2 linked regions of the Oryzias latipes genome follow. The protein of the gene in region 1 interacts with the protein of each later gene in a pairwise test. Links are inferred from orthologs where the notes say so. Each region holds a gene or a part of one and is shown in the gene's direction. Other genes may lie near its edges.

Evidence for each region.
Region 2: the proteins of trim32 (region 1) and ptcd2 interact in binary tests that used the Homo sapiens proteins (3 or more experiments, as listed by UniProt). The two-hybrid records come from large-scale screens. The link is inferred for Oryzias latipes from reciprocal best matches to the Homo sapiens genes TRIM32 and PTCD2.

What each region holds. Positions count from the first base shown.
Region 1 is NC_019870.2:11,625,852-11,629,530, reverse strand, and holds the end of trim32 (E3 ubiquitin-protein ligase TRIM32), read left to right. Parts: coding exon 1-614; 3' UTR 615-3,036; downstream 3,037-3,679. UniProt on the Homo sapiens protein: E3 ubiquitin ligase that plays a role in various biological processes including neural stem cell differentiation, innate immunity, inflammatory resonse and autophagy.
Region 2 is NC_019870.2:7,528,866-7,532,619, forward strand, and holds the start of ptcd2 (pentatricopeptide repeat-containing protein 2, mitochondrial), read left to right. Parts: upstream 1-1,221; 5' UTR 1,222-1,226; coding exon 1,227-1,362; intron 1,363-2,995; coding exon 2,996-3,088; intron 3,089-3,165; coding exon 3,166-3,295; intron 3,296-3,409; coding exon 3,410-3,527; intron 3,528-3,615; coding exon 3,616-3,694; intron 3,695-3,754. UniProt on the Homo sapiens protein: Involved in mitochondrial RNA maturation and mitochondrial respiratory chain function.

The sequences.
Region 1 (3,679 bases):
CTGTCAAAGTGTACACTATGGATGGGCACTGCATTGCTTGCCACAAGAACCAGTTGATAAAGCCCTGGGGGATCACAGCCATGCCATCGGGCCAGTTTGTAGTGTCAGACGTGGAGGGGGGAAAGTTATGGTGTCTTGCAGTGGACCGCAACGTGGGCGTGGTCAGCTACAACCGACTGTGCTCTGCTGTCCGCCCCAAGTTTGTCACATGCGATGCAGCAGGAACAGTTTATTTTACTCAGGGCCTGGCTCTGAACTTCGAGAAGCGTCAGAATGAGCCCCACCTGGAGGGGGGCTTCTCGATTGGTTCAGTTGGCACGGACGGCCAGCTCGGCAAACAGCTCAGCCATTTCTTTTCTGAGGCAGAAGACTTTCGGTGCATCACTGGAATGTGTGTGGATGCCAACGGGGATCTGCTTGTTACAGACAGCGGGAGAAAAGAAATCCTGCAGTTCCCCAAAGAAGGTGGATTCAATGTTCTCATCCAGGACGGGCTGACCTGCCCTGTGGGCGTGGCCACCACTCACAAAGGACAGTTGCTCGTCCTGGATTGTTGGGACCACTGTGTCAAAGTCTTTACCTACATTCAAAGGAGGCATTCTTCCACTTCCTAAAACAACTGACAGATTCCTAACTTGGTAATGAAAGGAGGAAGTCTGTATTGAAAGAAGAAACAAAAACAAATAACCTTCAAATTAAACATATTTTAATCTAGCTTCAGTTTGAAAATGGGTTTAGAAAATCAAGACATTTTCAAAATTCTAAGGTTGCTTTTTTTTCATTTCAGTTGTAAAGTATATATAGTATTGCACCAAATCCTTTGCATTTCCAGTGCATGTTTAGATCAAACGCACTACAAGCAAAGGATGCTGCTGCTGCTGTCAAAGGCTTTTCAAGGTGCAGAGAAAACTCCTTTCCTCTGCTATTTGATGCCACATTTCCATTTTTTTAGCCCGACTATCAGTTGAACCCTTCATGGGATTTTTTGGTTTTGTTTGTAGCTTTGCACAAAACCCCTGGAAGAGAAGCTCAAATTAAACTTGTACTTATGTATAAAATAAAGCATATTCAGGCATTTGCCCGATGAAGCACTTTATTACCGACACCTCACTGTGTCCTATAGCATTAGGGTCTAGTAGCACACTCAGTCTGTGGCTTTTAAAGTTTTGTGCAATTGATCTAAAGGCAGTATGAAACCAGATACCAGCAACAGTCAGGGAACAATAACTACCAATTTGCTTCAGGAAAATAAAAGAAAAAAGGTCCTGCAAAATCCAAACCTTAGGAATTTACATGGATTTATATTTTGCATTGCAGCATGCAAAGTTAGAGGAAGAAAATGTTTTGTTTGAAAAAGCTAACTCTGAGGCTATTTCAACTTTTATACATTATTTTCAGTTTGTTTTTTTTACTGTTATGCTTAGGAATTATATTAGGAATATCATATACCAGTCTATAAATGTATACTTTTTTTTGCCATGGAGCAGTGTTCTGCCTAAGAGATCAACACAAATAAATTACTGCCTTATCAATAGAAATAAAAAATAGACTTTAGCCCTTTTATTATAGTGATGAGCACATTTAAAAATAATGTATAGACATGCTTCAAAGCTACAGTTAATACATTTAGTCATTTTAAGAGTTTTTGTGATGTTTTTTTTTCCTTAAGCATTTTATGATCTGTGTGATTTGAAAGTCAACACTTAGTAAGATGTTTCTGTGTTCATGTTTATTTCTGATCTCAAGCATTCAAAGCAACCACAGCTGCATCTTAAACATGTCTTCCATGCTAAATGATTACACATGGAGAACAATACAAGGATCTGCCTAACCAATAAGACGCCCATTTCTATTGCAATGCCTTTATTTACGGGTCATTAGCAACAATGGGGTCGTGTTTAAGTTCCTTTTGCGCTGGGCTTTTGTTCTTTGTGCACTATTGAGATGTTATTTAATGCCAACACTGCCCTGTTTATGTGATATTCTTCTATTCTTCTGTCTATGCTCAAAAGTCAATTTTGGTTTAAGCTGAATAGGCTAATCTGCCTGTATTTCATCAAATCTGCTTAATCATAGACCTCTTTTGCATTTATGACTACTGTTTTTTTCCCCCTTAACGGGAAGTAGTTGTGTGCTACTGTGTCCATCCCTAAAGAAAATCCCAGTTTCTGTTGGAAAAAGTTTATGGTCACCTTAAGGAATATTCAAACTCCAAAATTACTTAAAGGAATAACATTTCTTTTTAAGATTTTGTTTGAGTTAGGAGTTTTCATCTGAAACAGCTATTTTGGTTTCTAGTGCTTTGGGGTTCAACTTGAAATTTGTTGTTCATTAATATTCATTAGTTTGCAAAGAAAACTATAAACATTTTGATTAATTTAAAGATCACATTACAACTTAATTGAAGTCAGATTCTATTTTCTTCTGACCCAGTTTCATCTTTAACATGTTTTTTCTAATTGTAGGTTTTTCTTTACACCAAGCTGACCTTAACTGTATTGGAGCCTGACGTGTATAAAAATGGACTAAAGCTTTATTTCTTTTTTGTTGTTGTATAATCTGCTTAAAGACGTAAAGCGAAATTCAAAAACAAGCTCAAGTGTCAAACTCACCATGGGTATTTCCTCTGTGCTTTTTCTTTTAGATCATAGATTTGATTTAGGTTGTACCATGTATACTTTTAGTATTCCCCACATGCCATCTGATAATCAGAGTAGTAATTATAAATGCAGTCATTACAATAGATGAAGAGAGAAAGCTGCATTAAATCAAGTGTCCTTGTGTCAGTGTGGTGAACGTTTAAGTGTCTCGCATACCATAATCTGAATTTGTTTAATTTGACATAGATGTCATCTCGTACTACTGATCTCTGGTGGTGTTTTTTTTTTTTTCCTTCTGCAATGAACCAAACTCTTGTCTTTTTTTATGTTCTTTAGAAACAACACTGTTAGAAATGTTGAACACATGTACTCCACTTCATGTTTGTAATGTTGATCATCAGAGTGCAATAAATATTTATGATCCAAACATTAAAAATACTCTCCTGGTTTTTCCACTCATGCCTAAATTAGATTTTAGTCTTTATTTCTTATGTTTATGCTGAGAAATTGTTGTTTATTGTGAACTTTTCTCTTTTTTTTCAAACCGAAAACCTTTTATAATCACATTAACTGTATAGGCCGATGGAGCATTGGTGCCACCATTAAAGAATAATAGAAAACTAGAATTTTCACTAACCTTTGATGTATCTTAAAGGTAAAAGGAAATGTAACTGTGAAAACACAAGCATATGCACAAGATACTGTATGCATATTTTATTTTGATGTATTTCTCGAAATGGCATACCTATGTTTTTTGGTAATGGCGACAATTGAAGCAGCAGCTTTCCTGTTTACCAATGTTTTCTATTGCCAACACATTGTACACAACAGGATGTAGGCAACAAAATCTACATTAAAACCCTGTTGCCCATGCACTACGTTTATTTTGTTTAATGAATAATGTTCAGCGCAACTTAAAGTTTCTGTAATTAAGAAAATCATTTTTGAAAACTAGCATGAAAGCCTTGGAGAGCACTGACTTCTTCCCAGTCAATAGAACTCTTAAATGATCATCCATCGTTTTGTTTTTAACGTCCTTGATCAATTTTTTTCAAGCAATAATGACCAGAAAGTGGTGA
Region 2 (3,754 bases), about 4.1 Mb from region 1:
GTTAAAATTCTTTCTACATATGTCATTTAGATTTAATTTACTCTTTTAGGTGCAATGACTTCACAACTGCTGCACAACCAACCATCAGTACCAGCTGTTTTAGTTCTGTTCTAAAACTGTTCCAGTGTCGACAGTTATTAATCACCATGGGACACCCGGGGCGCTTTCCAAAAGCTAAGGGAAGTGCATGTGAGGACAAATCAAAAAAGATGTAAGAGCTCCAGTCTGTCTGCACAACCTGGCTGCTTGTCAGAGCAAATCAGAGACTGTGTGATACGCAATTCCCCTGCAAACATCACTGTGATTTTTTTCTTCCTGTTGGTTTGAGCAACCCGAAATGACCTGTTGCAAACCGAAGTCCCGATCTGATGTGGAAATACAAATGATCAGTGTGCAGGGGCCTTAATATCCTTGTAAACATGCAAATGTAGAAGGAGAGAAAAATTTAACAAGAGCCTCTTGCACCTTGCAGGAAACCATAAATTATCTAGGGTTTGGCTTCTGATTGGCGGAGGAGGCTGAGATTGTGTTGCTAGGGTAACTGAAGGGGAACCTCCCTGAGCCATGTCATTTTCTTTGTGTCTCAATATTTATCATGAATGTTTACAGGAAATAATCGTTTTAAAGAGATTGTTCTCATCTGCAGAGTTAAACATCATTAAAACATGTGCACAATAAAAAGGATCACAAAATGAATGATGCATGCATTCCAATAAAAACAAATGTTTTCACAACAAACTCACAATGTTATATGACAATGAAGCAAGAGAAAACCAAATTAAACTTTGATTTTACTTCTTGTAATGGTTGAATTGTCCTTTTTCATTTGGGGTTTTAAGTACTTATATCACAGTGCAATGTGAATGCAAACTCCCAGTGTTTGTTTTACACAACATCGCCCTCTGCTGGTCAAATAGTAACAAGGCTTTTGAGTTACCTTGTGCCGTAAACTTATATCAGCAGTAAAAATAATGAAAATTAAAAAATGTGAAAATAAATTAAATTGGATGGATTATATTTGTAGTGAATCCGTTTAGATGATCCAAAACAAAAACTGCGATCTTATAATATACGAAAACAAACAAGATTGTCCTTTATTTAGTTTAAAAAACTAAGGGGCCCACTAAAAAGCTATTCTAATACTTCAAGAATGTGATTTAAGGGGTGAACAAATTACTTTGAATTAATTCATATTTTGCCACAACACCCCTCTGGGTTTCGCCTCGATGGTACAGTCCTTTGGCAACATGGCGCTCGTTGGGAGACTGGCAGCCAAATATTGTCGGTCATTATTGTTTGAGCCTTTTCAAGGACGTTTTCGTGGAGTTTTAGCTCCGGGCTGGATTCAAAGCTGTGTTGTAGGTAAGAAAAACTAAATGCTGAATCGTGTGAGTGAACAGGAGAGAAATGTAAATCCTAGAGAGAACATTCAGAGCATGCGCACAACTAGCTGTGCTGTGCAGGGGACACTCACTGAATATAACTCTGTGAAAAATGTATGCTAAATAACTGTATTTTGTCTGAAATCAAATTATGTTTTTTTGCTAATAATTGTAAGTGGGAAAAGTGCTGTGTTTTAAAACATTTAGCTGTTTTCAAAGCATTTGTTTTTGTTCGGTTTTTGGTAAAAAGAAGATCGCATGTTCCAAACCAGCAGGTCACGTGTCTTCAAAATTTTGAATCAAGACTTTACTTTTAGACTTTGGCAAAGACTAAACATATAGTCACTGAGCTGTAAATCTGTTTTTTAAAGGCAACCTGGCCAAGAAGTTGGTGGTTGACGTGGTACAACAAAACATGTAAACAATAAAACACAAATTAAAAAAATAGAACTGTTAAAGGAAACACATTTGAGCATAACACACAAAACAAGTGTTTAGGGGTTGAATAGTCAACAAATGGAAGAGTAACAAATTAGAAACACAAACACTGTTCAAATGGCTCTGTGGAATTTTGTTTAATGTTCAAAAATAAAGCACTAAGACATAAAATGATACAGCTTCATCTGAGCAGAAGATGCAGCCAAACCAGAAGCCTGTTTCTCCATATTGGTCCTGACCCGAGAAACAAGAAAATGATGAATGTCAGTCAGAGGAACGAAGATCGTCGTGACCTCTTGACCTTTGTAGAAGAGACCTTTTAAGGGGGTTTTTGTAGATCAGAGTCATCCAGCGAGAAGACCTGCAGATGCTGAGTGAAGGTCACTCTGCTCTGGAGTGTTTTATTGTGATGAGTGAGACAAAAGAAGGTGAAGCCTAATCCTAAAGGTTCTACCTCACTTCATGTAAATAAGAATAAAGACAAACTCGAACTGGACTCAATGAATTAACCAAAAACATGAGAAATAACATCAACTTGAACTGAGAGTTCACTGCTACAGCCTCACATAATTGAGGGTGCGCCTGTCAATCAGAAGCTCACAGCCTCTTTTAGGCTCAACAATATTTGAAAATTAGAATATGTTGCTCTTTTTCATAGATAATAAATGTTAAATGTGACTAATACAAAAGAAGAGTTGGAAGAAAAGTTGATGTGTGTTGATTCTGTTGTGAATAAAAGCAACCTTGCTAGGATTTATGTGAGGAACCCTGTTTTTTTTTTTAAATCAGCTTCAAACAGGAAGTCAGTGTTCTTTTTTAGTTTAGCTCATTCAAGGCTATAATTTGTTGTTAGTAATATTATTGTTCTTATTTATTGCATTTTTGCTCCTATTTATTATGTTGTCTGTTCTTTTTATTTTTTGGTAATGGTATGGTAACAAAGCAATTTCTCCACTGTGCGATCAAAGTTTTATCTAATCTAATCTAATTGTATCTATTTACTAAGATCATTTTTAAAACAAATGCTGTAAAATGCCATTTAAGATCTTGGGGGGGTGGAAAAATCACCTAATGCTAAATGTGGGGTGTATAAAAGTGACCATTCCCAGTTTGAATTTTATTTTTTAAGACATCATTTGACCTACATTTCCTTCATTTCATGTGTTTTTCTGTAGCTAAGAGACATTTGCTGTCGGAAGATATTGTCAAACTGCAGGACTTCCAGCAGAGGAAGCTGGCTGTGGCTCATCTCGTCTCTGGAACAGAAGGTGAGAAGCTTTATTTCTCATTGCTGATCAGTTGCAGTTTTCCTTCAACAAACTTACCTTCAAACCTAATTTCACAGGTAATTTTATCGAGCTGTTCAGACAGAAAATGCAGAGAAATGAGCTGGTTCTGCGGGATGAACTGAAGCTCCTCCTTCACCTGTGCCAGTCTTTAGATGACATGGTGGTAGCCAGAGATGCCATTTATAGGTACACTGCACACAATTCTACATCAACAGATCATGCAAACGTTTTTTTGTTTTTTTTTTTGTTTTATTACCTGTCAGAAATCTGGACTGTTAACATCTGATCTTTTTTCCAAAGATACTATGCAGAAAATCGGAACTTGATGTACGGAGACTTTAAGTTTGGTCCTCTTTTCATGAGACTTTGCTACGAGTTCGGCCTGGAAGAAATGGCTGCTTCAGCTCTTACAGATAAGGTGAACATGAGTCATCAAAGCCCCAAAAGTTCCACATGTTTATGTGAAATATAAACGGTTTTGGACTGAAAGCTTGCTCTCGTTTCAGAATCTGAAAGGATTTTTCCTCGACACAACCTCTTTTAACATTGCTATAGACATGTTATTCATTAAAGGCTTGTATGAAAGTAAGTCACACATAATCTGGTGTTTCCAGGTGTTGGTGCATGTCTATTTATGTCAAATTC